Macaca mulatta: one gene and its partners. The protein of the gene in region 1 binds, or shares a complex with, the protein of each later gene. Links are inferred from orthologs where the notes say so. Each region holds a gene or a part of one and is shown on either strand. Other genes may lie near its edges.

Region 1 (4,277 bases):
GGGAAGTGGCCTCCGCTCGTGGCTCTGCACGTGGCTGGGTGGGGTATGACAAACGCCACTGGGGAAGCTGCCCAGGGCCCTGGCCAGGTTGGGAGCAGAAATCCCAAGTGTGCAGTGGATCTGGCCAGCACCACTCTGGATCCAGAAAACCCTTCATCCTCCTCCCCTGCAACTAAGGCAGACCCAGCATTGCCCTGAGAAAGCGGCAGCTGATGCCTGGAACCCAGCACAGGTCCCACCCCAGCTGGAAGCCCCAGCCCAGAGCCCCCCCATGGGTGCCACTTTGCAGCCCACCCACCCCCCCACAGCCTACCTGGCACCTCCAAGGAGTCTTCTTTGCCTCCTACTGCACACCGACCCCCCATTTCCTCACCCCCACCCTAGGGGCACAGCAAGGAGGGTGCTGGTGCCAGCCCCCCCGCACTCCATCCGAGAGACACGGGCTCCCCCTCCCTCGTCCTCCGTAGGCCCTGAGCTCCAGGGCAAGGCAGAGCTGCGGCCTTCAGCGGGTCCTGCCAGTGCAGCCTCCGGGAGTCTGCCCAGGGGTCCCCTGTGCCGGGGTCTTCAAGGTTCAATTCAAAGAGCACCTCTTCCACGACGCCCTCCCCGACCTCCCTCCCGGGCCCCCTCTCCCCGTGCTCAGAGGCGCGTCTCAGCGTCGGGACGGCCAGCAGCCCAGCAGAGCCGGGACCGGGGAGGGCGCACCCCGACCCCCTTCCTGGGAAGGAGCGGAAAGAACGCGGACAGGAGGCCGGGGCGGGGAGCAGCCGGCGGGGGCCGTAACTGCGCGGCCGAGGCCAGGACGGCGCTCCTAGGGGCTGGGCCGCGTCCAGAATGGGACCCCCGAACTCGGCGCCGAGAGCCCCGGACACCCCGCGAGTAGAGGCGGAGGCGGAGGGACCCACTACCCGGCGGGGCCAAGAGGGGCAGCAGGAAGACCCGCCCCGGTCCGCGCCCGCCCTCTCCCCAAGCCCCCGCGCCGGACCCCACTTGTTGCTGCGTGTCGGCTCTAGGCTCGAACTCGCGCGCCCCGCTCGCGTCCGGCTCCAGCCGCTCCCGGTCGGACACCTCGGGCCGCGAGACCCTGGCCGCACGCCCCCACGACCCCCCGGGCGCTCTACCTGCGCCGCCGCCTCCCGCTCGCTTCGTCCGCTCCCTCCGCGCAGCTGTCAGTCAAGCGGACACGAGAAACGCGAACCGCCACCGCGGCTTTCGGCCCTGCTCAGACGCCGTAGCTCCGGGACGCACCAAGATGGTGGGCGGGGGTGTGTCGTCTGTTGCTGCCGCGGCCGTGCAGGCCCAGGAGCCCCGGGCCGCATGGGGAATCCCCATGGCGGCGGAAACTGCGGCCAGCTGCGCCGGGGCCAGTGTATGAACGGCTGGGGCAGCGGAGAACGAGCGGAGCCGGTCCCCCCGCGATAGTGGACGCGCCCGGGGCGGGGCCTGGGGGGAGTGCTTCCCGTGCGGCCGGACCGGGCCGGGCAGTCTGGGACGCGCCGCCGCCATGATCATTCCTGTACGGTGTTTCACTTGCGGCAAGATCGTCGGCAACAAGTGGGAGGCCTACCTGGGGCTGCTGCAGGCCGAGTACACTGAGGGGTGAGGCGCGGGCTGGGGCCGGGGCTGGGGGCTGAGTCCGCCCTGGGGTGCGGGCCGGGGCGGGAGGCGCAGCGCTGCCTGGGGCCGGCGCTCCATGAGCAGCTTCATACCCGGCCACTCCGGCCCAGCTCTGTGATCTGCTTTCGGGAGAACATTGTCCCCTGAAGTCTGGGGAGAGAACGGAGTTGGGCTTCAAACCAGTGGTGTCCTGGGGATTCTAGGTGGCCTGGCGGGTGGCAGGCGTCTTGTCACCCGCAGTAAAGCCCTTGGTCTCCGTCCTAATCTCTCGTCTCTGCTCCCAGACCCACCCCATGTCCTGCAAACCTCGCTGCAGGACGGGCGGGCGCGGCGGCTCACGCCTGTAATCCCAGAAGTTTGGGAAGCCGAGGCGAGAGGCTTGCTTGAGCCCAGGAGGTCGAGACCAGCCTGGACAACCTGGGGAGACCCTGATCTCCAGAAATTTTTTCTTTTTTTTTTTTTTTTTGGGGACGGAGTCTCGCTCTGTCGCCCAGGCTGGAGTGCAGCGGCGCGATCTCGGCTCAGTGCAACCTCTGCTTCCTGGGCTCCAGGAATTCTCCCCAGTCGCCGGGACTACAGGCGTGTCCACGCCCGGCTCATTTTTGTATTTTTAGTAGAGATAGGAGTTCGCCATGTTGGCCAGGCTGGTCTCGAACTCCTGACCTCAGGTGATCCACCTGCCTCGGCCTCCTGGAGTGCTGAGATGACAGGTGTGAGCCACCGCCCCTGGCCCTCTTATCTTTTTAATTCCCCGGACTTGGTGGTGCACACCTGTGGTCCCAGCTACTTGGAAGGCTGAGGCGAGAGAATCGCTTGAGGCTGGGAGGCAGGTGAAGATTTCAGTGAGCCGAGATCACGCCACTGCACTCCAGCCTGGATGAGAGAGTGAAACTCCGTGTCACGCACACACACACACACACACACACACACAGAAAAAGAAATGCAGGGCAGACTTGCTGACCACCCTCATCATCGGGCTTTGTGGGGGAGGCATCCTTCTCCTGTGCTTGTCCCTCGGTGCTGCTGTCACCACCGTGCCTGAGTCTTGGTGCCCCTGCTGGAGTCTGACCCTTGCCTGCTGAGTCCTGGTCACATGTGAAACCCCAGGCTCGTGTGTGCCAGCCTGCCATAGGCTCTCAGTGCAGCTTGCTGGACGAATGAGTAAAGCGAGTGGGCTGCCAGAGTGAGTGGCTGGTGGCCTGTCCAGACCCTTTCCCAGGGATATGAACTGCAGGGGCCTCCCATGTGGCCTCCCCTTTCCCAAGCTTCTCTCTCTGCACATTGGAGCCATCAGTGTGGGAGTTTTCTGGAAGTATTGATGGTGACTGGACCTTGGTCCCAGGGAAATTAAAGCTTCTAATTGGCTTGGGAAATGGGAGAGGTGGCTCCCTGGAGAAGCAGTCTCTCCCTGATTGAAGGAAGCAGAGGTGAGAAAAGACGCCACAGTGGCAGAGTAGGGCTTGCTCTGGGGTGGGGGATGAACCAGCTAAGGGCAGGCCCCTGGAGAGCTACCCTGCTGTGGCTGGTGCGGGATGAGGGGAGCTGCGCATCAGGACCTCGGTGGCCTTGGTTTTCTATGCTCCCCCAATTACCTCTAGTTTTCGTTTCATTTATATTTCTTACATATGTTAGACACACATATGTACAGCCAGAGTAGGTGGGAGAGAAGGCTCCTCACGCTCCACCCAGGGATCTGGGCATTGCCAGGTTACTCCAACCAGGATCATACCCCTAGGTCTCTACTTCTCATCCAGGTGAATGTGTTCGCCTTGCCGGTAGCAGGGGAGTGAGGCCAGCAGGCAGTGAGAGGCGGCCTGGATGTGGGCTCCAGGCCTGTGCAGACCGTGGAGAACTCAGCTGGCCTCTCTGTTCCTCCCCTCGCTTGACACAGGGATGCGCTGGACGCCCTGGGCCTGAAGCGCTACTGCTGCCGCCGGATGCTGCTGGCCCACGTGGACCTGATCGAGAAGCTGCTCAATTATGCACCCCTGGAGAAGTGACCAGGCTGGAATCCGCCTACCTGCCATGCTGACCATGGGCCATGAGCATCCTGCCCCAAGTTCACAAGGCTGAGGCATCCAGGAGCTGGCGCAATGCCTCGCCACAGCGTGTGTGTGTCCCATCCCCCACTCTGGAAGGAACAATCCAGTAAAGGTCTTTCAGAACTACCAAGGTCCCAGCCCTCACTAGGATGTCAGGGGCCAGGACTAGGCCCAGCTCTCACACCGCGGCAGCCCAGGGAAGCCGACTGGGCCATGAATTCTCCTAGCCCTGGGGCCAGCCTGTTCCACAGGTACCCCTGCAGGAGGTGCTGCCAGGAGAGCCTTCCATCTCAGGGCTGAGGTTCCCTCCTTCTGGGTGCTCTTCAGACTGAGCAGAGGCTCCTGTACTCTCTCTCTTGGAATCTGAAGAGCCAGATTTAGGCCAGGCACGGTGGCTCACCCCTATAATCCCAGCACTTTGGGAGGCCAAGGCGGGTGGATCACGAGGTCAGGAGATTGAGGCCATGCTGGCTAACACGGTGAAACCCCGTCTCTACTAAACATACAAAAAAAAAAAAAACAGCCAGGTGAGGTGCCGGGCGCCTGTAGTCCCAGCTACTCGGGAGGCTGAGGCAGGAGAACTGCTTGAACCCGGGAGGGGGAGCTTGCAGTGAGCCG
Region 2 (3,949 bases), on another chromosome or scaffold:
TGGATGAGGAATAAATGAAACCAGACACATCGACAGTGTCTGTAGTTCATGGCCCAATTTTTGTGTCTTGCTCCCCTTCCCTTTGCTTAGCCAACTCCTATGCATCCCTCAGTGCCCAACTGAAACCTCCCCTCTTCTCTGAGCCCTCAGAGCCCACTGTGCTTCTCCTGCTCCTTCCTGGGTTGTAGATTCCCATGTTATGAGTCTGTCTCCCCCACGACACTGTAACCCTCGAGAGGACACTGTAACCCTCGAGAGGACACTGTAACCCTCGAGAGGACACTGTAACCCTCCGTTGGGAGCTGGTTTGACAGATTCACCTTGCGGGGCCCCGAACCCAGGAGGTGCTCGAGTATTTCCGAAGTGGAGCAATGAATGGTTGCGCCGTGAGCATGCGCAGTTGTGTTACTGCCATGACTGGGGCGTGTGTGCATGCCTGGAACGGGGTAGGGGATCCTGCATCTCCCTACTGTTCTCTGCAGCCTCCTTCCCTTCCCCCCAGGAAGCCAGCCAGCCGCCCCCGCGACGTTACCCTTCTCCTGGGGCCTCAGAGCCCTGCCCATCTCGGGCAGCTTGGACTTGCAGAGACCCATCCAGCCAGCAGGCCTTGGGGTGGTCGCTCCCCGACCCCGCCCAGGCTCTGACCCCTCCTGGCTCCGCACAACGTCACAAGGGTCCCCGCCCCGGTCATTTTGCGACAATGACGGGGTCCATTCCTTCGGGGGAGGAAATGAACCCCAAACAGGCCCATGGGGAGCCAAGCAGCGGTTCGACCCAACCGGAGTAGGCCTCGGTTGCTATGGTGACGCGGCCTTCTTGGCCCTCCCCAACCCCGGTCCAGAGCGATATGGCGCATGCGCAAAGTGCCTGGGGGCCCGCAAGGAGGACTCTTCTCCCTCTCCCCACCCAGGATGCCCCGCGGTCCTTGGGTGTGACGTCACGAGGGAGGGCGGCCCCCCATTTGATGAAGTTAACTGTGTTGTATAAAAGAGCGCCAGCGACAGAGGCCGGTTAGTTTATCTCAGACTCGGCCTGGGTTTGCTGAGTCTAAGAAGGGACCGTGGTGGCCCTTTTGAGGTGACCATAGCCGCCGAGGAGCATAAGTGACTGCGCATTGAGGCGGCCACAGTGGCTAAGAAGGTTGCCATCGCGACGCGGCCGCTGGAGGGTTTCGCTTCCGGGTTAAGCGGCCGCAGAAGCGTAGACGGAGTAGCTGCAGCGCCTCTTCCGGTTACCTTTTCCCAGTGCCGGAGGCGCCTGGGGTTGGGGTCTTCGCTCAGGGACAGAGACCCGACAGCGAGCGGCGGCTTGCCCGGGATCGAGGGACGCGCACGCCAGAGGAGACGAAAGGAACCCGGGTCGGACCAGATCGGAACCACTGACCATAGCCCATGGCGGCCCTAGTGAGTGTGGATTTGGCGGGGTTCCGGGGTCCCGACGGCGACCTCGGCAACTCCTCACTCACCGTCCGGTTCCTCTTTCCGCAGGGCCCTAGCAGCCAGAATGTCACTGAATACGTCGTTCGAGTTCCCAAGTAAGTGTCCAGCCCCATCTCCCCCTCCTCTCCACCCTCCAAAAATGAAAACCTTCACGGTCTTCTTAGCCAGGCGTTTCTGGCCCTGTCTGTGATTCTCCCTCCAGACTGGGAGAGACTTGGAGGGCAGGGCTGGGATTAAGCTGAGGCTTCCCTGGAGACAACCCTGCTTTTTTAAACGAATGAATGAATGAGTGCATTAATAACACGGCGATCCAGCCCCCTGGCCTAACCTTCGATCCCATGATGCTCAGGCCAGCTGTAAAGAACATATTCCTCGTCCTGTTTCAAAATGGTCGGGCTATCTTTCCTTTCTAGGCTTTTGTACATCCTGTTCCCTCTGCCATGAGTGCCTCCCCTCAACCCCTAAACTGTGACTCTGCTGGGTGAATTCTTGTTGATTCTACAAAGCTCAGCTCCAGTATCTTCCTCCTCCAGGAAGCCCTCCATGCCTGTCCTCCCTCCTCCCCAAGGCTGAGTTCACAATAATCTCCACATCTTGGGTTCCCTCAAATCTTTGTCCCTCCATCTGCTCTTCTTCTGCCTGGGGTCAAGAGGGGATGGGTCTAGCTTCTCTGGCAGACTGGGAATCCTTGGAGTCTTCTGTATCCAGTGTTGCCAGGCAAAACAGGCTGAATGAATCGAATCGGGGTGGGTTTGTTGAGTGATTGAATTGAATAAATGATTCAATTGAATGGAATGATTGAATTGAATTGATGGTTCAATTGGATTGAGCGATTGAATTAATGATTTGATTGAATTAATGATCCAGTTGGATGGCTGATTGAATTAATGGTTCAATCGCATTAATTCATTAAATTAATGATTGAACTGCTGTATTGGATTGACACCACCTCTTTCTAATCCACTCCAGGAATACAACCAAAAAATATAATATCATGGCTTTTAATGCAGCCGATAAAGTCAACTTTGCTACGTGGAATCAGGTAAGTCCCTGGGTCCTGGGGGTTGGGAGCTGGGGTGGTGGGAGAACATGACCCTGACCTTGGTGATTGTAATAGTTGCTTAACTGTCATAGTAACTAAGTCTTAATTTTCTCACTTTTCTCAAAATGAAGAAAAGATAGATGACAAAGGATTGGGTGCAGTAGTTCACACCCCTGATCTCAGCACTTTAGGAGGCCGAGGCAGGAAGCTTGCTTAAGGCTAGGAGTTCAAAACCAGCCTGGGCAATGTAATAGCAAGACCCCAACTCTACAAAAAAATTAAAAAATTAGCTGGGGCTGGTAGTGTGGGTCTGTAGGCCTACATAGGAGGCTGAGGTAGGAGGATCGCTGGAGCCCAGGGGTTCAAGGCTGCAGTGAGCTATGATTGCATCACTGCACTCCAGCCTGGATAATAGAGCAAGACCCTGTCTCAAAAAAAAAAAAAAAAAAAAAAAGTCCGGGTGCCATGGCTCAAGCCTGTAATCCCAGCACTTTGGGAGGTCGAGGCGGGTGGATCACGAGGTCCGGAGATCGAGACCATCTTGGCTAACATGGTGAAACCCCGTCTTTACTAAAAAAATACAAAAAAGTAGCCGGGCGAGGTGGCGGGCGCCTGTAGTCCCAGCTACTTGGGAGGCTGAGGCAGGAGAATGGCGTGAACCTGGGAGGCGGAGCTTGCAGTGAGCTGAGATCCGGCCACTGCACTCCAGCCTGGGGGACAGGGCGAGACTCCATCTCAAAAAAAAAAAAAAAAGAATGACAAAGGCCCAGGTCAAGCTCCTGGGTGTCCCTGTAAGTTAGGTTTGGTAGGCCCACCGGAGGCCTCTCCTTAAAGGAGAACATTCAGAAGTTGTGCCCACCGATGGGCATTTTTGACCAGGGTTTATCTGGGCAAGGGAGGGGACTGGGCTGGGGGCTTTCCCAGAGCCCCTGCCATCAGAGGCTCTAGAAAGGAGTTTGGGAGCCATTAAAGTGTTTTCAACTGGGAGGTTGTAGTGTGATCTGGCTGTTGTGGGGAGACAGACTGTGGGTTTGAGGGCAGTTAAAGGGAGACCGGGTAGAAGCAACTGGTCTGGTCTAGGTGAGTCCTGGTGGGCACTGGGGGCAGTGGAGGTTATGAGATGTGGCTGATTCTAGAGTGTTTTGGAAATGGTATATATGGACCTTAAATCAAGAGCTTAAGGGTAATTTGGATCATATTAGCCACATAGGTCACGATAAATGGTAACATTTGTAGAGATTTTGGTGCCTTAATGTCAGCAAATGTTGCACAATGAGATTCTTTTTATTTATTTTATTTATTTATTTTTTGTGATGGAGTCTCTTGTTGTCCAGGCTGGAGTGCAATGGCACGACCTGGGCTCACTGCAATCTCCACCTCCCAGGTTCAAGCCATTCTTCTGCCTCAGCCTCCCAAGTACAGGTGCCTGCCACCACGCCCAGCTAATTTTTGTCTTTTTATGAAGTTT
Region 3 (3,461 bases), on another chromosome or scaffold:
TTGGCCCCCACTCTTTTCTGGCTTGTAGAGTTTCTGCTGAGAGATTCGCTGTTAGTCTGATGGGCTTCCCTTTTTGGGTAACCTGACCTTTCTCTCTGGCTGCCCTTAACGTTTTTTCCTTCATTTCAGCCTTGGTGAATCTGACAATTATGTGTCTTGGAGTTGCTCTTCTCAAGGGGTGGTGTTCTCTGTATTTCCTGAATTCTCCCTGTCACTTTCAGGTACACTAATCAAACGTAGACTTTTCACATAGTCCCATATTTCTTGGAGGCTTTGTTTGTTTCTTTTTACTCTTTTTTTCTCTAAACTTCTCTTCTCACTTTATTTCATTAATTTGATCTTCGATCACTGATACTCTTTCTTCCACTTGATTGAATCGGCTACTGAAGCTTGTGCATGCATCACATAGTTCTCGTGCCGTGGTTTTCAGCTCCATCAGGTCTTTTAAGGTCTTCTCTGCACTGTTTATTCTAGTTAACCATTTGTCTAATCTTTTTTCAAGGTTTTTAGCTTCCTTGCGATGGGTTCGAACATCCTCCTTTAGCTCAGAGAAGTTTGTTATTACCGACCTTCTGAAGCCTACTTCTGTCAGCTCGTCAAAGTCATTCTCCGTCCAGCTTTGTTCCGTTGCTGGCGAGGAGCTGCAATCCTTTGAAGGAGAGGAGGTGCTCTGGTTTTTAGAATTTTCAGCTTTTCTGCTCTGGTTTCTCCCCATCTTTGTGGTTTTATCTACCTTTGGTCTTTGATGTTGGTGACCTACAGATGGGGTTTTGGTGTGGATGTCCTTTTTGTTGATGTTGATGCTATTCCTTTCTGTTAGTTTTCCTTCTAACAGTCTGGTCCCTCAGCTGCAGGTCTGTTGGATTTTGCTGGAGGTCCTCTCCAGACCCTGTTTGCCTGGGTATCACCAGTGGAGGCTGCAGAACAGCAAATACTGCTGCCTGATCCTTCCTCTGGAAGCTTTGTCCCAGAGGGGCACCCACCTGTATGAGGTGTCAGTTGGCCCCTGCTGGGAGGTGTCTCACAGTTAGGCTACATGGGGGTCAGGGACCCACTTGAGGAGGCAGTCTGTCTGTCCTGAGCTCAAATGCTATGCTGGGAGAACCACTGCTTTCTTCAGAGCTGTCGGACAGGGACGTTTAAGTCTGCAGAAGTTTCTGCTGTCTTTTGTTCAGCTACGCACTGCCCCCAGAGGTGGAGTTTACAGAGGCAGCAAGTCTTGCTGAGCTGCGGTGGGCTCTGCCCAGTTCAAGCTTCCTAGCTGCTTTGTTTACCTACTTAAGCCTCAGCAACAGCAGACGCCCCTCCAGCTGCCAGGCTGCTGCCTCACAGGTTGATCTCAGACTGCTGCACGAGCAGTGAGCAAGGCTCTATGGGCGAGGGACCAGCTGAGCCAGGCTCAGGATATAATCTCCTGGTGTGCTGTTTGGTAAGACCGTTGGAAAAGTGCAGTATTTGGGCGGGAGTGTCCTTATTTTACAGGTGTAGTCTGTCACAGCTTCCCCTGGCTAGGAAAGGGAAATCCCTTCCCAGGTGAGACGATGCCCCACCCTGATTCAGCTTGCCCTCCGTGGGCTGCACCCACTGTCCAACCAGTCCCAATGAGATGAACTAGGTACCTCAGTTGGAAATGCAAATATCACCTGTCTCTGCATCGATCATGCTGGGAGCTGCAGACCAGAGCTGTTCCTATTTGGCCATTTTGGAATGGAAGGCTTTACTATTTTAAAATAAGGGAAATTGCTTGGTAAACTCTTCTCCTACAGTACATATAGTATTGCAAGCTACATTATAAAGTCTAGTGTCTTATGTTGGGTGGAAGTCGGGGATTATTTGTTTTCTTTAGTTTGTTTTAGAAATATGTTCAGAGCCGGGCGCGGTGGCTCAAGCCTGTAATCCCAGCACTTTGGGAGGCCGAGACGGGCGGATCACGAGGTCAGGAGATCAAGACCATCCTGGCTAACACAGTGAAACCCCATCTCTACTAAAAAATACAAAAAACTAGCCGGGCGAGGTGGCGGGCGCCTGTAGTCCCAGCTGCTCGGGAGGCTGAGGCAGGAGAATGGCGTAAACCCGGGAGGCGGAGCTTGCAGTGAGCTGAGATCGGGCCACTGCACTCCAGCCTGGGCAACAGAGCGAAACTCTGTCTCAAAAAAAAAAAAAAAAGAAAGAAAGAAATATGTTCAGAATATCTCCTTGTATGCTTTTGTTTGCCTTGACCATGGTAAGAAGGTGGAGTGGTGCCCCATCTGGAGTGAAGAAACTTCGAGCAGAGAGTTGAAGGACCAGCTCCTAGCACCACCTGTGGCCCTTGTGTGGTGGCCGTGGACAGTGTGAACATGTTTTCCTTTGTGCAGTTAAGGAGTTACCAAATTCTTCTAGGTTTCTTTCCAGCTCAGGGTCCTGTTTTAAGCCTAACCATATATATTTGTTATTTGGGGAGATGTTCAGGGGTTAGTGTGTGCCTTTCTTGGTTACCATCTAAAGAGAAATTATTTTTTCTTTTTCCCTTCTAGCTATTGTACACACGTGACAACCTATGAAGAATCAAATTATTCTCTGAGTTATCAGTTTATACTAAATCTCTTCTCCTTCCTGCTCAGAATAAAGACTTCCCTTCTCCATGAAGAAGTGAGCTTAGTTGAGAAGAAACTTTTCGAGAAAAAATATAGTGTAACAAAAAAGAAATCAAGATCCAAGAAAGCGAGACGACATTGAGAAAATGAAATAGAAACTTTCTGGAAAAATATTTTAGTATTGATATAACATCAGATTTTAATATAACATTCCAGAGAATTGTAGAAAATGCTGCATATATATGTATATGCTCTGACACATATTTACATATATGTCAAGTGTGCTTAGAAAATTGTATATTATAAAGCAGGTGAGCTTTGATTTTATTTTTCAGAGTATGAATATTCTAAGAGAAAGTTAAAACAACAGTAAATTATATGATTGTATTTATTTATTTATTTTTTTTTTTTTTGAGACAGAGTCTTGCTCTGTCGCCCAGGCTGGAGTACAGTGACACGATCTTGGCTTACTGCAAGCTCCATTTCCCAGGTTCATGCCATTCTCCTGCCTTAGCCTCCCAAGTAGCTGGGACTACAGGTGCCCGCCACCACGCTAATTTTTTTGTTTGTTTTTAGTAGAGATGGGGTTTCACCATGTTAGCCAGGATGGTCTTGATTTCCTGACCTCGTGATCCATCCACCTCGGCCTCCCAAAGTGCTGGGATTATAGGTGTGAGCCACCGTGCCCGGCCAGTAAATTGTATAGTTGTATCCAGAAATGTATACTCGTTGTATTTTAAAGCTAAATTTATTTTTTAAAGTAGATCTCTTCCTTATTCTTTACACCCCAGAGTAAATCCCAGATGGATCAAAGATCTAAACGTAATATTTCATATTTAAAAATATAAAAGTATTAGTAGAAAACAAATATGAATGTTTTGCTCT
Region 4 (4,231 bases), on another chromosome or scaffold:
TACTTCCCCGGGACCCCACTCCTTTTTAAAGGCGAAGGCAACACACCACCCTGTTTCTTCCCTGGAAGCCACTCATCTAGGCGCTCATACCTTCCTCTGGAAAACAAGCCCAAACTCACGCAGATGTTGCAGGAAGTTCAACAGAGAATCACTCATACCTTCCACAGAGTAATCCTGAGGAACAGAGGTTTCCAGCTGGGGTCCAAAACACAACCCACCCACCCCCAACCCCATCATTCATTCTGTCTTTCTCCATCCACCTCTGCTCGTTCTGTGTTCATTCTTATCTTCTCACTCTACTGCCCCACAATTTGCTTTTTCCTTCCCATCTCTATACCCTTCAGCCCCCTGCTTACCTTGCCCAGAGTAGAGAAGCTGAGCTGGAAGAGGAAGGAGAGAATCTCTACTAGGTCCATGCCCCGGCTCTAGGGAGAAAGAGGCAGAGACAAAGGAGGAGGGATGGGAGGGAGACAATGGGAAGAAAGGGACAGAGAAGAGAAAATCAGGGAACAGTCTGTAGGCAGGAATCTCTCAGTGAGACCTGAGAGGAGCAGAGCATGCTGGCAAGTGGCCCCGGCGTCCTCACCTGGGCTGTCTGCAAATACTGCAACATAAAGTACCAGAGCTGAGCCGGCGTGTCCAGCAACAGGAACTGGAAGCCAGCGGAAGTAATGCAGGGCGGCTCTCCAGGTTCAGTACTACAGACAAAGACCGGGACAATGACGGTGATATGCAGAGAAAGACTACTACCCCCACTTGTCCGCTCACATTTTTTCTTTGTATCTCTGGCTGTATTCTACTCAGCTTGCCTTTTCCAGCTAATGTCCTCTGAGCTTGACTAGCCGCAGATACCATTTCTTAGGGACCCAAGGAGATGGCACTGCAGAGAGCTGCTATACCTCCGGTTTCCTCACCTCTTCATGAGCCCAGCCTGGCTGAGGAGCTGAGCCAAGTCCTGGCTGACAGCTGCACTGGGGGAGCCCACCATGAAGTGCAAGACCACCTGAAGAACAGAAGAGAACAGGGAGACCATGCCCCAAGGGCCATGGGAAGTAGAAGCACAAGCAGAGACACACACAGTCCCAAGTGCTTACCTCCCATCGCTCCTCGGCATACTTGTCAAGGGAGGGAACATCCCGGGCATGCTTGTCTGGTCCCAGCTGACTTGTGTCATCAGACCAGGCCTTCCCCCTAAGGCCAGGATGGGCCAAGAGTAAGGAACCCTGGCCAGGAGCTCACACCTGTAATCCCTGTACTTTGGGAGGCCAAGATGGGCGGATCACTTGAGGTCAGGAGTTTGAGACCAGACTGGCCAACATGGTGAAACCCCATCTCTACAAAAAATACAAAAAATTAGCTGGTGGTTGCCTGTAATCCCAGTCACTCAGGAGGCTGAGGCAGGAGAATCACTTGAACCCAGGAGGTGGAGGCTGCATTGAGCCAAGATCGCACCACTGCACTCTGCCTGGGTGACAGAGCGAGACTCTGTCTCAAAAACACACAAAACAAAACAACAAAAAAAGAGTAAGGAACCCTGTCTGTGTTCCTTGCCACCCTTCTGCCATCTTTCCACCCTTATCCTCAGGGGCCATGAGTGGGGGACATTTCCTACACCACACACTGCAGCTGATCCAACTTACTCCTAAAGGAGCTCCCAACGTGGAGACCACAAGGTTCCGGGGAGGCCCCCAGGAGCTCCCCCTCCCAAACTGTAATTAGCGGTTTAATAAGCAGCAGTTCCCCTGCCCTAGCTTAGGAAGAGAGAGAAGTGACATACCCACCCAGAAGGGCAATGCGGAGGTTCTGGCGGAAAATGGGGTTGAGGATGAGGCCCTGGAGCCCGCCTGGGAGCAGCTGGGTGTGCCAGATCCGGAGGCCGCTCAGCAGCCCTGTACTTTCCTCCTGAGCCCTGGAACAGAAGCAGAGAGGTGAGCAGGGTATTTGGAGAACAAAAAGGAGGACCATAAAAGCCACCTCTCTGCCTGTTCTGAACTTGCTGATCCTTGGAACACTGTTCCACAGAGTGATATTAGTATCTGAAGACAAATTCTTTACTGCATTACCTATCAGAGCCTTATTACAGATATCACACATAACTCTGTAAGAGGGAAGATACATCTGAAAGCAAGAGGTCAGCTGGGAAATAAATAAAAGGGAAAAGGCAGTATGCAGAGTTTCCCAAATGTATTTATTTTTAAGTTTTGTGATATACCTATTAATACGTCCTGGAAGTGCTCCAAGGAACAGTAGTTTGGGAAATGTAGCTGTTGAGAAATTTGTATCTGGCTGAGACTTACTTGCTGAATTCCTTCTTTACCCACAGGGCTACAGCAGCTTGTGGCAAAGGCTGCTCCAGAAAGAGCATCCGCATCACCCAGTTCTTAGCCAAGGATGGGAGCTCCCTGAACAGGGACAGAGGTCAAAGGTTAATATCAGAAGCTGCATTGTATCTGCATCTCTGCCCTCAATTAACTCTCAAACATCTCATCTCACTCCACCACAACTTTACCAGTCCTGCTGTTTTGGCCCCCACACTTTGGAGCAATTTCCAAGCCGCACCCCGAGTCCCCACCCCTACCCCAGCCTGCTACACTTTTATCTGTTATATTTTATTCCAGTCCGCAGACCCCATTACATTTCCCTGCCATGAAGGGGATCCTCACCTGAAGACAGCCAGACAAGTGGCAGGGTGCCCATATAATCGGTCCAATACCCCAGGGCTCAGGCCCCCTAAGAATTCCTGCAGATTCCTGCATTGTAGGTGTACTCGGTTCAGTCCCCTTGAAGGGGTGCTCTCCATCACCTGAGGAATGCAGACATCAGAAGCGCACCCCCACCATCCATGCCAGTGTCACCCCTGACCTTTCTGATTCCAGATCCATGAGTCCCCACAATAACCCCACCTTTTCTGTGGCCTCCTTTCCCATGACACTCAATTCCTCTGGTTTCTCAAAAACCTGACCAATCTCCATCCCTTTCTTGCCTCCTCACCCTGTTTCTGCCCTTCAACTCCAGTCTTTCCTCTGCTCCAAGTGACAGAATTGTCAACTGTCCTGTGTTTGCAAGATCATTTTGTATTTCAATGACTTGTCTCATCTTCGGCTAAACAGAGACAAAGAAAATTGAGCCCACACCTCTCTCTTCCATCCCTCCTGGTCAGATCAGTCTATAAGCTCCAAATCTACCCGAACTTCCTATCTTCTATCTCTTAGCCCACTTCTGCTAAGTACGGCGGTAACCTCTCCCCTCCATGCTTCCCAAATCTAAAGCCACCTCTTTTCCCTTCCCAAGTCTAGTTCACCCCATTCACCCTGACCCACGCCTTCCGATCTCCTAGCTTCTCCCTGCCTTCCTCCCACTCCTCGCCTCTCACTCACCTGTCTCTCTCATACCTCTCCCACTCCCGCCCTCCTAGGTCCCCTCACCACTCTGTCGATCCTCCTCGCGCACCCCGAGTCTCGGGCCGTCGCTTAATCGGAGCCAAAGTCTCGCATTGGCTCCTGGAAACTGAGGGAAAGATGGTGAAAAAATGCGAAGAAAAGATGGGGAAAGCGACGAAAGATTTCACAGGCAAGAGCCCAGAATGGAGAATTCAGAAGAGAAGGGAGGTAAGGGGAGGAGTGGAAAAGTGAAGAGGATTAGAATAGACGATGCACACTCCCGGCGCGGGGGATGCTGGGAATTGGAGTCTTGTCTTTGCTCTCCTTAGAGCCGGCTGAAGTGCGTCTGACTACAAATCCCGAAAGGCACGGTGGGGAAGCCGAAAGGCAAGGAGCCGGCTTTTAATTGAGAGAGCGGGAGACACCAGAAGCCGGACCAGTTGGTTCTGCCAGAACCAACTCCGCCCACGCTGCTAACGGCGCATGTAACCCGATGGAGCGGGAGGCGGGTCGGGGAAAGTAGAAGTGCCTGGAGGGCTTCCGTGCGGAGGCGCGCTGTGGCGACTTGGTGGTGAACCGATTAGACTTAGGGACCACAAAACTGGATTCCGTGAGCACAATTACTCCCCGTAAAATTGGGATAATGCACACTCCGGGCCGGACGCGGTGACTCACTGCTGTAATCCCTGCACTTTGGGAGGCCGAGGCGGGCGAATCACCCGAGGTCAGGAGTTCGAGACCAGCCTGGCCAATATGGTGAAATCCCGTCTTTACTAAAAATACAAAAATTAGCCGGGCGTGGTGGCGGGCACCTGTAATCCCAGCTACTCGGGAGGCTGAGGCAGGTGAAT
Region 5 (4,178 bases), on another chromosome or scaffold:
ATTATCACAGAGAAAGGCAGGTGGGAGCCTCTCCCAGCGAAAAGACTACAGCTTGTGTCCTTCACAGGACAAAATAGTGATGGCTCCAGAACTTTCATATGAAGGAACTTAGCACAGCTATCAGAGTAGGTGGTGGTGGGAGGACTAGCAGGAAACTAGTAAACAACGACAAGCTGCCCCTTCAGGGAAAGTTTCTACTTCGAATATAAGTTACAGAGTAACGAAAATAGCAAGATTTCCGAAAGAAACTTATTCCCATGTTTTATAAAAGATCAGGGAAATGTCAGCTGTCCACTTAATGGATGACGAATAATGAATTAAGAGTTCGATAAGCGGCAGGCACAACTAAAAGCCAAACTCGACCTAAGTCTTATGAAATCCTACTTAATGAGCTTCTTGACTACTGCTAGCCTCACTTATCTGGCAGGAGTCGAAGGAGGGGAAGCCCCAAGCTCTTCTGTTCTACCACCTCCAAAGTCCTGAGCCCCTTCTCAAGTGTCCCACTTCATCCCTGCTTCCTTTCGTCCCGTGGGACTAAGGATTCCTCTGGCCTTCACCCTCACCACTTGCTGTCCCTCAAGAAGCCGACTCACCCCTTTCCAAGCGCGGTGAACCGTCCGCAAAGCACACAGGCCGGCTGCGCTCTGCAGAAAGCCCACGCTCGCCAGCGGGACCCAAGGAACGCTAGAACTATACATGCCAGAACACTTAGCTTTGTTTTTAACTACTGTGCAGCCGCAAAAGGGAAATACCAGCTCAGGACCCAGGGGAGTTGTAGTTCTCTAATCCAAAGAAGTCATTATTCAGCAAAGTACGGTTTTCAGGAGGATATTCCCCCGCGATTGGGTTCCCGTAGGATGTGAAACAGAGAATAAATATCCCAGGATTCGGTGCTGGTGGGAAAATTTGCTGGAAGCGCAGCATTGGTTACCAATTTTGTGCTCAACGTCTCAGTACCAGCCTGAAAGTTGAGCCCCAACCTCCCTTAGAAGTGGTGACTCTCCATCTCTAAGGCTTCCGAGACACGGTACGCAATTAATTATGACGTCACAGCCAATCGTCAGCGTGAAAGCGTGACGCTCTAGCCGGCTCTAGCTCGCTGCCCCGCCGCGGGCGCAGAGCTGGCGCTCTAGCCCACGGAGTTGGCCAGCTCCTCTCGCCGGCCCCAGGAAAGGGTTCCAAGTCCTTTTAGTACCCGACGCTGTCTGGGAGTTCCGGGCGTTTCGGCTCCTTGGTCGCAGAGGCAGGAGGCGTGCGTGGGAGGAGGACTCGGGTTATATACTCCTACGTCCTGGGACGGAATAGTTACCACCTCTGGGGCAGGAACTCTTCTCTCTTTTGTTAATAAACTTCTAACTCCCTCCTCAGACCCGACTGCATGTCTGTCATGGACCTCGCCGGTACTTGCTCCAGCTTTCAGTCGGACTTGGATTTCTGTTCAGATTGCGGCTCGGTCCTGCCTCTGCCCGGGGCTCAGGATACGGTCACCTGTACTCGCTGTGGCTTCAACATCAACGTTCGGGGTGAGAGGCTTGTACACAGGGGTCCTGGCGGAGGGCCCAGGATCGGAAGCTTGGGGAACTCAAGATCGGTTGGGTTGAGAAGGGGATCCTAGAGCAGGACATCAGGCAGTTGTACATTTGGTTCAGCGATGAAAACTGAGGGAAAGGATATAGGGCCTCCTGGCCTAACCAGCCAGGGGAGAGGGGAAGTTTCCGGTGTCAGCTCCCTCAGGTTGTCTCCATAACCCGTCTTACTTGCCTGTGCAGACTTTGAGGGGAAGGTTGTGAAGACTTCAGTTGTGTTCCACCAACTGGGGACAGCCATGCCTATGTCGGTGGAGGAAGGGCCTGAGTGCCAGGGACCTGTGGTAAGTTAATGAGATCAAGAACTGGCTCCATAAGGTGGGTAGGAAAGAAATGGAGGAGTGATTGCAGAGATCTGGAGAGTTTTGTGCCCAATTCCAAGTGGGAAAAGATGTAAAGCATCGATGTTTGAGAGGCGTGATCGCCTGATTCCTGTGGGAAGTAAGGGTATGATATGACCTGGCCTCCATAACCCACCAGTTTCTTCCCAGGTTGACAGGCGCTGCCCTCGATGTGGTCATGAAGGAATGGCATACCACACCAGACAGATGCGTTCAGCCGATGAAGGGCAAACTGTCTTCTACACCTGTACCAACTGCAAGTGGGTATCCTTTCCCCTCCCTTTGCTCAGTCTGTTTGCTAACTAATAAACAAATCCAGTGATTTATTTTTTTGTACTAAACGGCTGTGTCCTTTCGTCCCATCCCTTATTTCTGTGCAGTTCTGGTAAGAGGGAGATTTGTAGTTTTTATTTTTTTAAATTACACTTTTTTAACCCTTTTTGTAACCAGTGAAATAAACCTTTTAGGTTTTTTTTTTTTTTTACGGACAGGGTGTTGCTCTGTCACCTAGCCTGGAGTGCAGTGAGGCAATCTTGGCTCACTGCAACCTCCGCCTCCTGGGCTCAGGTAATCCTCCCACCTCAGCCTCCAAAATAGCTTTGGGACCACAGGCACGTGCCACCACACCTGGCTTTTTGTTTTGTTTTGTTTTTTGTATTTTTAGTAGAGATAGGGTTTCTCTCTGTTTCCCAGGCTGGTCTTGAACTCCTGAGCTCAATCAACCCACCTCAGCATCCCAAAGTGCTGGGGATTACAGGCATGAGCCACCCTGCCTGACCTTCTTTTAGGATATTTAAAAGGAAATGAATAAAAAAAACCAGAAGAAGCAAGTATTGTTTAGTGGTCAGCGTCTTATACTGCAGTCTTCAACCGCAGTCAAGGTAGCTTTACTTTGGAGAGAATTAGTCACACATGATTTAGAGAACATGGGCTTTCTGAATGCTTTTAAGACCTCATCTTTGTCTTTGGTGTTCTGCAGTCACTATAGTATATCAAAATGTGATTTTCTTTTATTCTGTTTGGGATTTGTTGGACTTTCTGAAACTGAGAGTGCATTGTTGTTTTTTGTTTTTTTTTTTGAAACGGAGTCTCGCTCTGTCTCCCAGGCTGGAGTGCAGTGGTGTGTTCTCCGCTCACTGCAAGCTCCGCCTCCCGGGTTCATGCCATTCTCCTGCCTCAGCCTCCTGAATAGCTGGGACTACAGGTGCCCGCCACCACGCCCGGCTAATTTTTTGTGTTTTTTAGTAGAGACAAGATTTCACTGTGTTAGCCAGGATGATCTCGATCTCCTGACCTTGTGATCCACCCGCCTCGGCCTCCCCAAGTGCTGGGATTACAGGTGTGAGCCACTGCGCCTGGCCTAGAGTGGATTTTTTTTTTCATCAACCTTGGAAAATTATCAGCCATCATCTCTTTTAATATTCTCTTTCCCCCATGTTCTCAGTCCTCACATTCTGGACCTCTAATTAGTTACTAGAATGAGATTTCTCTCTTCTGTCCTCCATTTCTCTCGCCTTCTTTTCATATTTTCAATCGCTTTTCTCTTTATGCCACCTTCTGAGTAATTTCTTCAGGTTCCTCTTCCATGTCACTAATTCTGTCTTCAGTTTATTTCAAGTATTATTATTTTTTACTATTGTTATTATTTTGAGTTCTATTTAATTACTTTTCAAATCTCAATTTTTAAATAATTCTCAGTTCCTTAATAATATTTTAAATTGTTCCTTTTACTAGTCTTTATATATTTAAAATATTAAATGTGGTTATTATATTCTATGTCTCATAATTCTGATATCCGTGGATTTTGTGTGTCTGATGCTGCTGTCTGTTTCTGCTGTCTCTCTCATAGTGCTTTTTTCTTTGTTTTGTAATTTTTGACAATAAATTTGAGTTTTTTAGAACTTGAACTGTAGGAATTCTCTGAGGCCTTGGGTAAGTGTTGTATTCTCAGCATTTGTGTTTCTTTTCTAGGTGCCTTGAAGCACTATCAAGCTGGAATTACTTTAAATAAATTCTTGGCTTCATGTTTTTTGGAGCAGACAGATAGTATGAATTTGAGCTGCAAATCCATGTAAGGGCTAGCTTATGGCTAGAAATTCTCAGGAAAGAGTTTTCTCTCTTTCTACCTACTGAGACAGTCAAATTCCCCTTCTATAGAGTTGAATTTCTTTCTTTTCTTGTTCACTTTTACAAAAAAGGGCAGGCTTTTGCAGTTCCCAAATTTATGCACAGGATCTCCTATCAACCTTGC
Region 6 (4,171 bases), on another chromosome or scaffold:
AACCAGGATTTGAACCCAGACAGTCCACTTCTCCCAAAATTTCATTTTCTTACCTTGATTCCGATACTCAAAAAGACGGGGATCAGCATGAATGGGAATGAGCCCCAGACGGTGAGCAAGGATCTCATCCTGAACAATGGATGTATTATTGTACACCAGGACCTTCTCCACAGCCATAGTTGGCACCTGCCCAAGGAAAAATAACCACTTATCTGCAAAAACCCAACAGACCCCCTACCTATCCCCACAACCCCACCCTCCAGAGGTAAGGAGCTATCTCTCTTCCTAGAATGTTTAATGAGAAATTTACAAAGAATGAGAAGGTAAAATGCTCAGCAAAATTCCAGGAAAAATGAGGGAAGGACAGCTTGAGACAATTCTCCAAGTGAGGTGTCAGTGCAGTTCCCAAAGCAACTCCAGCCTTGTCACCATGCCTGCCAATACCTCAGCTAACAGAATTCGTCGAAAAGCATTGGCAATGGCTGCGTCAATTCCCACCATGTCGAACTCCAGTGAGTTTTCATCCATGTGTACTACATCCACACGGAAATTCTAGAGGGACAGGAAAAACATTTAAGTGAAACCTGCTCTCTCTGTAATATCTCTTCATACCTCCCCCTTAGATAATTCCCTCAAGTATTATCCTCTCATCCAAAAACCTCCCTTTGCCCAGATGTCCCTTATTAAATATTCTTTCTCGCCCAGTGCTTTAGTTTCATAAAAAGTCTCCATTTTTGTCGTCCATTCATTAAAACCCTATGCAATATGGCTTCCAACCAAACCATCCACAGAAGCTATTCCACTAAAGAACAGAAACTACCATAGTGCTTAGTCCTGTTGACACTACCCAGTCCTCTTACTAGACTTCTGTTATGCTTGACATTGATTAAAAAACCTCCTCTGGGCCCAGCACGGTGACTCACACCTGTAATCCCAGCACTATGGGAGGCCGAGGGGCGGATCACAAGGTCAGGAGTTTGAGACCAGCCTGGCCAGCATGGTGAAACCCCGTCTCTACTAAAAATTCAAAAAATTAGCTGGGCATGGTGGCGCGTAGCTGTAGTCCCAGCTACTCGGGAGGCTGAGGCAGGAGAACTGCCTGAACCCAGGAGGCGGAGGTTGCAGTGAGCCAAGATTGCACCACTGCACTCCAGCCTGGGAGATAAGAGTGTCTCATGAAAAGGAAAAAAAAAAAAAAAATCCCCTTTTTTGAACGATTCCCCTGGTTTCTGAGCTCCACTCTTCTTCCATCTCTGATGATCAACTTCCACCCATCTCTAAATTTGCCAGGTTCTTGTCTCTCTCCCAGGTCACCTTAACTGTACTAACAGTTTTAGCAACTATCTGTTCTGACAACTCCCAAAATTTTATCTCACTTCTGATCTCATTTCAAGCATGCAGTCTTCTAGCCTGCTAGATTTCCCCACATACAGAAAACAATGCATCATCATCCCTGTTCCCCAGACCCATTTCTCCTCTTAGTAAATGATACCACAAAGCAAAAAGCAGTTCCCAAGCCAGAAAAAGTCATTTTATGCTACCCCCACAGCCTTTATCCAAGCAATCATAAATTTACCTTATATTCTTCCTTTGCTCTATTTCTACCATCAGTCTTAGTTCATATCTTCAACCTCAGCTTCCCTTACAACAGATCTGCCTGCTCCATATGATCCTCCTCAAACTCATTCCCTCCCAGCCATCAAGGTTGCAAATCTGATCATGTCTGCTTAAGAAACTATTCAAGCTCCCTATCATCCACAGTGTGACACACTTCAATCTTGCCGACCACTCATGCCAGAACTACTTGGACATTCCCGGAGCACATGTCACAGAAGTCATAATTTTTTTTCAAGCATTAGCCTTTTTCATTGTTCATACTTTATTCCTTGTATCAACAGGTTAAAAAAGTAAAATTTTCCCAGGCACTGATTTACACATCATGTTTATAAGCTGCATAAAGGGTAACATTTAGGTCAGTTGCATAAAGAGTAACATTCAGTAATCTATTTAAATGCAATTTTAACCCTTATTTTAAGCTAAGTGAAACAATAATACAAAAGACTAAATACACACAAAACCTGCATATCCTGAACTTCACTGACGTGAAACTCAAATCTTTCATAATTCAACTCCTGTTTTTTTTTTTACTTACCATTCAAGGTTCAATTCAGGTGTCCCCTCCTCTTGAAATGTTAAGTACCTCTCGGCCCCTCTTCCTGGTCTCAGCGGAATGCTCCCCACCCCAACCCTGCCGTCTTCATCGCTATCAACCACCTTCACCATATTACACTAGATGCACTTGTTTATACGCACCATTCCTCAACAAGACGGAATATCTCTGCAGAGATAGAAACCGTGTCTAATTTGGCCTGTAAACGGAGCGTCTAGCACATTGCTCAACAAACACAAACGGAGCGACCCCCAAAAGCAGCTGCTGAGACAGACACAGGCTGCTCAGGCCACAGGGTCTGGCCTTCATAACCCTCCCCAGACAACTTCGGCCCCACTTACCTTCTCGAAGCGGTCCTGGTCCCAGGCATCATCATAACCGGAATAGTTTCCGGGAAAGTCAGTGGTATGGACCTAGAGCAAAGGGACGAGTTTGTCCACAAAGGGACAATGAGCCCACGGCTATCCCCACGCCAATCCCAAGACCCACCCCTGTTCCGCTCTCATTCCTCCCGCCCGAGCTCAAGGCCACAAGGCTTACATTGCGAACCCCAAACTCCCCTAGAACCACGCGGCCCCGCATCTCCTCCACCGCCTGAGAAGCCGCCATCTTCAATCTCTCCACGAGACTGGAGGCTCTATCTGGCGCGTGCGTCCTAGTAGACTGGCTCCGTCTCCGTGGCAACGCGCCACCGCCTGGAATCTTAAATATCGCGAGACTTTTCCCCGCTTCCGTCCACGTCCCCAGCCTCCGGAAGTTGGTTTTGTCCAAACATCCGGGCTTCTCTTTTTTGTGTTCCGGCCGATCCCACCTCTCCTCGACCCGGGACGTCTCCCTCACTAAGGCCCACGTCTCGCCCACTCCTCCGCGCGCGGGGCTAGCGCGGGCTTCAGCGACGGGAGCCTTCAAGGGACATGGCAACTACAGCGGCGCCGGCGGGCGGCGCCCGAAATGGAGCTGGCCCGGAATGGGGAGGGTTCGAAGAAAACATCCAGGTAATGGCCCCAAGGCACTAGCTGCCAGCAACCCGAGGGCCAGCGATGTCCAGAAGTGTCTTGAGGATTCTTCCTGTGGGCCTGGAAGTCCGCTCCATTTGCAAAACTCTCTTCTTTGGGTCTTCGTGCACACTAAAGTCAGTAGGATTAACATTGACCTGAAAGGGCCAGACTAGTACTCCAGCCTGAGGGTCTCGGGTCTCTGGGCCCGCTCGAGGCATTAGGAAGAAGGTATTCTTGGAACAAGTTAGGAAGTTGGTCGGGGTCAGGCATGGAGTGGGGTTGGGTGGGATTCACTGGCATTCGCTGAAAACATATTATGTGTATAGTTTTGTTTGGGGCTTAGGAAAGAAGGAAATGGGCACTTTTTCAGCCTTTTAGTCTTTGGTAGGTAAGGTAGGAAAAAGACAGGAATGGAAGACTAGTAGTATGTTTCCCAGGCTAGAAAATTCAGCCAAAGCTAGAAACCAAGAGTTCTGAGAGCATATGAGGGGGAATGGAGTGGCATGATCTGTAGTGATTCCGAGCCGTATCCTCAGCAGTGGAAGAACAAAGCCCTAAACCCTGGGATGAGCAGAGGACTTAATGGATGGAACAGAAAAGTCCTGCACTCTAGGAGCCATTGTCTTCACAGGGCGGAGGCTCAGCTGTGATTGACATGGAGAACATGGATGATACCTCAGGCTCTAGCTTCGAGGATATGGGTGAGCTGCATCAGCGCCTGCGCGAGGAAGAAGTAGACGCTGATGCAGCTGATGCAGCTGCTGCTGAAGAAGAGGATGGAGAGTTCCTGGGCATGAAAGGCTTTAAGGGACAGCTGAGCCGGCAGGTGGCAGATCAGGTAAGCATGATTGAATCTTCTGCAGGTGGAAAGGTATACCTAGGTATGTCCCATGTTCTGGAGTTGGTGTTGGTGATGTTTGCCCCAGGTTGTCCAGTTAGAACCATGTAGAAATCAAGCGGAAAATAGGCAACAGGGTCTAGAACCAACAGTCCCACAATACCT
Region 7 (4,048 bases), on another chromosome or scaffold:
TGATGTTATCTCCCTGGCTCAAGCAATCCTCAGTCTCACGAGTAGCTGGGACTACAGGTGTGTGCCACCACACCTAGATAATTTTTATTGTTTTTATTTTTTAAATTTTTCGTAGAGATGGGGTTTCACGGCGTCACCCAGCCTGGATATTTTTGTATTTTTGATAGGCCTGTATAGTTTCCAAAGTTGCAACCTTTTCCCCTCCCTGAGGGTAGGGGCAGCCTCTGCTCTCCCTCTACATCCCCTACAGTCCCGAGGTTTTGGCCTCTGCTGTTTCCTGTTTCCTATGCTTGGAACACCAGTCGCTCTTTTGTTGGTCTGGTTGACTCCTGTTCCTCTTTTAAAAATTTAAGTTTGGCCAGGCACGGTGGCTCACACTTGTAATCCCAGCACTTTGGGAGGCCGAGGCGGGTGGATGACCTGAGGTCAGCAGTTCGAGACCAGTTTGGCCAACATAGTGCAACCCCGTCTCTACTAAAAATACAAAAGTTAGCCGGGTATGGTGGCATGCGCCTGTAATCCCAGCTACTTGGGAGGCTGAGGCACGAGAATTGCTTGAACCCAGGAGGCGGAAGTTGCAGTGAGCTGGGATCACGACACTGCACTCCACCTGGGCAACAGAGACGGAGGTTGCAGTGAGCTGAGATCACGCCACTGCACTCCAGCCTGGGCAACAGGGCAAGACTAGGTCTCAAAAGAAAGAAAAAAAAAGTCAAGGGGGTAACACCTCTTGGAAACTCTCCTGCTGTTTCTCATTCCAGCATCATCACAGCCTTGAGGCTCTGGGGTAGATCACTTCGTCGAGCTCGTTTACGTGAGGATAACGTTATCTTGGTGGTCTGTAAGAATGTTGCATTGAGTACAGAGCCCAGGCTCCTGGGTCACCCGGGTTCAAATCCCCTTTCCTCCGTGAGGATCTGGGTCAATCACAGTGCTTCAGTTTCTTTGATTTAACTGAGGGAGGCTTTGACTCCAAAAAATTAACACTCGAGTGTACCCGGCCACAGCTTAGCACATCCAGAGTATTTCCACCCTTTCTTTGGGATTCTTGGGCCTGGATGGAGCAGGACCTTCCTGCCTCTCCTTACTCGCGCATTCGCGCTGAGTGGAACAAGTGGTCCAAGTAGAATGAGGGGCGGGGTTTGGCGGCGCTCTAGCTCGCGGAGAGCACACGCTCTCCCCACGCGGGGTCCCTGATTGGCTGAAGGTTGCGCCGGCAAGCGCAACTTCCGGGACAGAGGGCTGTGGCTGGAAGGAGCAGAGCATCCGGCCTGAGGCGCAGCGGTCGTGTTAGTTCGGCCCAATGGCGGCACCACTGCTTCACACGCGGTTGCCGGGAGATGCGGCTGCTTCGGCCTCTGCAGTCAAGACGCTGGGCGCGTCGAGGACTGGGTAAGATTCAGGCCGCTTCCTTCTGCGCGTCCGAGACCAAAGCTCAGGACTGCGCTTAGGGGAGCGGATTGAAAGGGTCTGGGACAAAGCTAATGGCGTGTGGTAAGAGCACGGGGTCGAGGGTCATCTCATGTTCGCGGGAATGAGCTCATTCCTCATAACTGGGTAATAGACATGGGTGGGGCCTGGAAAAGTCAGTATATTATCTGTTCTGGAGCCCCCCTTTCCCGACTGTATTTCTTCGTGATTTCCCAGGCCTCGGTACTGCCTTCTGCGCCTTGACTCCTCTTCCCGCTTCTTCGTCCAAATTTGGAAGGGATTCCCTGGGCTATTCGGTTTATCAGCCGAATGTTGTCACTCATGGCAAATTGAATATTACATCTTTTTTGTTTGAAATTTGTTTCGACACACGTATTTGTTTAGCAGTCTTTATTTTGCTCCGCTTTTAAATCCCTAACCCCCATAGCACACTTGGCGTTTAACTTTCAGAGTCATTAGGATGCTATGTTTTTTCATTAATTTACTCTGTGTAAGTAAAGCAGACCTTGTAAAACAATTAGCATAATATGATTCATAATATTTATCGATCTCCTGCTTACTATGTTAAACACTGGGGACAGTGGTTTATCCAAAGACACTAATGTCCCTGCTTTCTACAGAGCTTATATCCTATGGGGGAAAGGCAGTACATAGGCCAATAAATTACGATGGTTTCAGTTATACAACAGGGTAATGGGGAGGGAGAAGGGAGAGAAGGAGTACTTGAGATTTCTCGTGGGGAAGACATCTGACATTTGAGCTTCCACTTGAATGAAGACAAAAGTCTAGGCAGGGAGTAGTTGCTCACGCCTGTAATCACAGCACTTTGAAATGCCGAGGTGGGCGGATCACCTGAAGTCAGGAGATCGAGACCAGCCTGGCCAACATGCCAAAACCCCATCTCTACTAAAAATACAAAAATTAGCCGAGCGTGGTGGCGGGTGCCTGTAATCCCAGCTACTCAGGAGGCTGAGGCAGGAGAATTGTTTGAACCCGGGAGATGGAGGTTGCAGTTAAGCTGAGATCACACCACTGCACTCCAGCCTGGGCAGCAGAGCAAGACACATCTCAAAAACAAACAAACAAACAAACAAAAAAATCCAGCCACGTGGAGATTTGGGAAAAGAGTATTTCCGATAGAGTGAACAGTAAGTGAAATGAGAACCAGCTTGGCATGTCGAAGAGCAGAAAAGACATTATGGCTGTAGTAAAACAAGGTGTTGGAGATGAGGTGAGAGAGGTAGGCAGGGGCCAGATTAATGTAGGATCTTAAATACCACACTGAGAGATTTGAATTTTTACTATAAGTGCAGTGGGAAGACAGTTTTCGGTTGCTGAGCAAAGGAGGGATTGTTGGTTAGGAGTGGAAGCAGGGAGACCAGTAAAGAGGCTTTAACAATAGTTCCACTGAATGATGTTGGTTCAATAAATGTTGGCTATTATAATTTTTAATATTTTCATGAACTTAATAGCTTGTTAATTTTGGTTCCACAGGATTTCAAATATGCGTGCATTAGAGAATGATTTTTTCAATTCTCCCCCAAGAAAAACTGTTCGGTTTGGTGGAACTGTGACAGAAGTCTTGCTAAAGTATAAAAAGGTAAGAGGAGATAATGTATGAGGTTTGCTTTTGGTCAGGTCAGAATACAACTATTGCTGTTATACTAAAGACCAATAGAAATAGCAAGCTTAATTAAGATACCAGTTGAAATCAAATATTTAATAATAGCATGATGCCGTCAGTGCAAACTTAGAGTAATAGTGTCCTTTTTTTCCCCCACCTTGGCCCGTTTCACAGGTAATAATGAGAGAGTAATAATGTCTTTACTGAGGTTTCACCTCTTCACATGCTTTATTTACAAAGCATCTTTTAGCTTTAGCAAGTGCTAGAATTAAAAACAATTACAGAGTTTTATTTACTTATTTATTTTTATTTTTTTAATTTTTTGAGCCGGAGTCTCACTCTGTCGCCCAGGCTGGAGTGCAGTGGCGTGATCTCAGCTCACAGCATCCTCCACCTCCCAGGTTCAAGCAATTCCCCTGCCTCAGTCTCCTGAATAGCTGGGATTACAGACACGTACCACCACACCTGGCTAATTTTTAAATTTTTTTAGTAGAGATGGGGTTTCGGCATGTTGGCCAGGCTGGTCTCAAACTCCTGACCTTGTGATCCGCCCACCTCGGCCTCCCAAAGTGCTGGGATTACAGGCGTGAGCCACTGTGCCTGGCCTACAGCATTTTATTTTTTGAGGAACTTACCTAAGCATTACTTTAGGACAGTAAACCATCATCTGACTAGAGATTTTTGTTTCTGTGGTAGTTCAGAAGCATTTCTACTATATCTCAGGAGTAGAGGGAAAATGTTAAGTAACCGTATGTTTATATGTAATATCCATTTGTATCCATATTTGAGTGAATACTTTTTTAGATCCTCCTGAATAGATCATTATAGCTGGCTGTTTTTTTCCCTCATGCTTTTTGAGAATTCGCAGGAGTATCAACTGTTATATTCAAATGTCAATACAGAAGTATAGCCAAATGTAGTTTATCATTTTCCTTTTTCCAAGCCCTCTGGCTGCACTAACATGAGTGTTTAAATTTTTGTAGTCATGATTTT

Evidence for each region.
Region 2: POLR2L (region 1) and GTF2F1 share a complex: the UniProt entries of both Homo sapiens proteins name them as parts of the TBP-based Pol II pre-initiation complex. The link is inferred for Macaca mulatta from reciprocal best matches to the Homo sapiens genes POLR2L and GTF2F1.
Region 3: POLR2L (region 1) and TAF1B share a complex: the UniProt entries of both Homo sapiens proteins name them as parts of the pol I pre-initiation complex. The link is inferred for Macaca mulatta from reciprocal best matches to the Homo sapiens genes POLR2L and TAF1B.
Region 4: POLR2L (region 1) and GTF2H4 share a complex: the UniProt entries of both Homo sapiens proteins name them as parts of the TBP-based Pol II pre-initiation complex. The link is inferred for Macaca mulatta from reciprocal best matches to the Homo sapiens genes POLR2L and GTF2H4.
Region 5: POLR2L (region 1) and POLR1H share a complex: the UniProt entries of both Homo sapiens proteins name them as parts of the pol I pre-initiation complex. The link is inferred for Macaca mulatta from reciprocal best matches to the Homo sapiens genes POLR2L and POLR1H.
Region 6: POLR2L (region 1) and POLR1C share a complex: the UniProt entries of both Homo sapiens proteins name them as parts of the pol I pre-initiation complex. The link is inferred for Macaca mulatta from reciprocal best matches to the Homo sapiens genes POLR2L and POLR1C.
Region 7: POLR2L (region 1) and RRN3 share a complex: the UniProt entries of both Homo sapiens proteins name them as parts of the pol I pre-initiation complex. The link is inferred for Macaca mulatta from reciprocal best matches to the Homo sapiens genes POLR2L and RRN3.

What each region holds. Positions count from the first base shown.
Region 1 is NC_133419.1:734,183-738,459, reverse strand, and holds POLR2L (DNA-directed RNA polymerases I, II, and III subunit RPABC5), read left to right. Parts: upstream 1-1,477; 5' UTR 1,478-1,504; coding exon 1,505-1,599; intron 1,600-3,508; coding exon 3,509-3,617; 3' UTR 3,618-3,890; downstream 3,891-4,277. UniProt on the Homo sapiens protein: DNA-dependent RNA polymerase catalyzes the transcription of DNA into RNA using the four ribonucleoside triphosphates as substrates.
Region 2 is NC_133424.1:7,269,515-7,273,463, reverse strand, and holds the start of GTF2F1 (general transcription factor IIF subunit 1), read left to right. Parts: upstream 1-1,149; 5' UTR 1,150-1,391; coding exon 1,392-1,403; exon of another isoform or gene 1,404-1,468; intron 1,469-1,487; coding exon 1,488-1,534; intron 1,535-2,408; coding exon 2,409-2,481; intron 2,482-3,949. Other genes in the region: adenylate kinase isoenzyme 1, read right to left, coding at 533-716, 1,083-1,148. UniProt on the Homo sapiens protein: TFIIF is a general transcription initiation factor that binds to RNA polymerase II and helps to recruit it to the initiation complex in collaboration with TFIIB. It promotes transcription elongation.
Region 3 is NC_133418.1:114,880,231-114,883,691, reverse strand, and holds the end of TAF1B (TATA box-binding protein-associated factor RNA polymerase I subunit B), read left to right. Parts: intron 1-2,516; coding exon 2,517-2,718; 3' UTR 2,719-2,961; downstream 2,962-3,461. UniProt on the Homo sapiens protein: Component of RNA polymerase I core factor complex that acts as a GTF2B/TFIIB-like factor and plays a key role in multiple steps during transcription initiation such as pre-initiation complex (PIC) assembly and postpolymerase recruitment events in polymerase I (Pol I) transcription.
Region 4 is NC_133409.1:152,144,340-152,148,570, forward strand, and holds the start of GTF2H4 (general transcription factor IIH subunit 4), read right to left. Parts: upstream 2,801-4,231; coding exon 2,664-2,800; intron 2,403-2,663; coding exon 2,298-2,402; intron 1,910-2,297; coding exon 1,778-1,909; intron 1,192-1,777; coding exon 1,095-1,191; intron 1,004-1,094; coding exon 915-1,003; intron 699-914; coding exon 587-698; intron 426-586; coding exon 357-425; intron 175-356; coding exon 91-174; intron 1-90. UniProt on the Homo sapiens protein: Component of the general transcription and DNA repair factor IIH (TFIIH) core complex, which is involved in general and transcription-coupled nucleotide excision repair (NER) of damaged DNA and, when complexed to CAK, in RNA transcription by RNA polymerase II.
Region 5 is NC_133409.1:152,983,541-152,987,718, reverse strand, and holds the start of POLR1H (DNA-directed RNA polymerase I subunit RPA12), read left to right. Parts: upstream 1-1,378; coding exon 1,379-1,523; intron 1,524-1,769; coding exon 1,770-1,870; intron 1,871-2,077; coding exon 2,078-2,187; intron 2,188-4,178. UniProt on the Homo sapiens protein: Core component of RNA polymerase I (Pol I), a DNA-dependent RNA polymerase which synthesizes ribosomal RNA precursors using the four ribonucleoside triphosphates as substrates. Can mediate Pol I proofreading of the nascent RNA transcript.
Region 6 is NC_133409.1:138,600,748-138,604,918, forward strand, and holds the start of POLR1C (DNA-directed RNA polymerases I and III subunit RPAC1), read right to left. Parts: upstream 2,801-4,171; 5' UTR 2,780-2,800; coding exon 2,711-2,779; intron 2,584-2,710; coding exon 2,512-2,583; intron 553-2,511; coding exon 445-552; intron 187-444; coding exon 54-186; intron 1-53. Other genes in the region: protein YIPF3, read left to right, coding at 3,085-3,165, 3,800-4,006. UniProt on the Homo sapiens protein: DNA-dependent RNA polymerase catalyzes the transcription of DNA into RNA using the four ribonucleoside triphosphates as substrates.
Region 7 is NC_133425.1:15,963,052-15,967,099, forward strand, and holds the start of RRN3 (RNA polymerase I-specific transcription initiation factor RRN3), read left to right. Parts: upstream 1-1,248; 5' UTR 1,249-1,303; coding exon 1,304-1,392; intron 1,393-2,925; coding exon 2,926-3,031; exon of another isoform or gene 3,032-3,046; intron 3,047-4,048. UniProt on the Homo sapiens protein: Required for efficient transcription initiation by RNA polymerase I (Pol I). Required for the formation of the competent pre-initiation complex (PIC).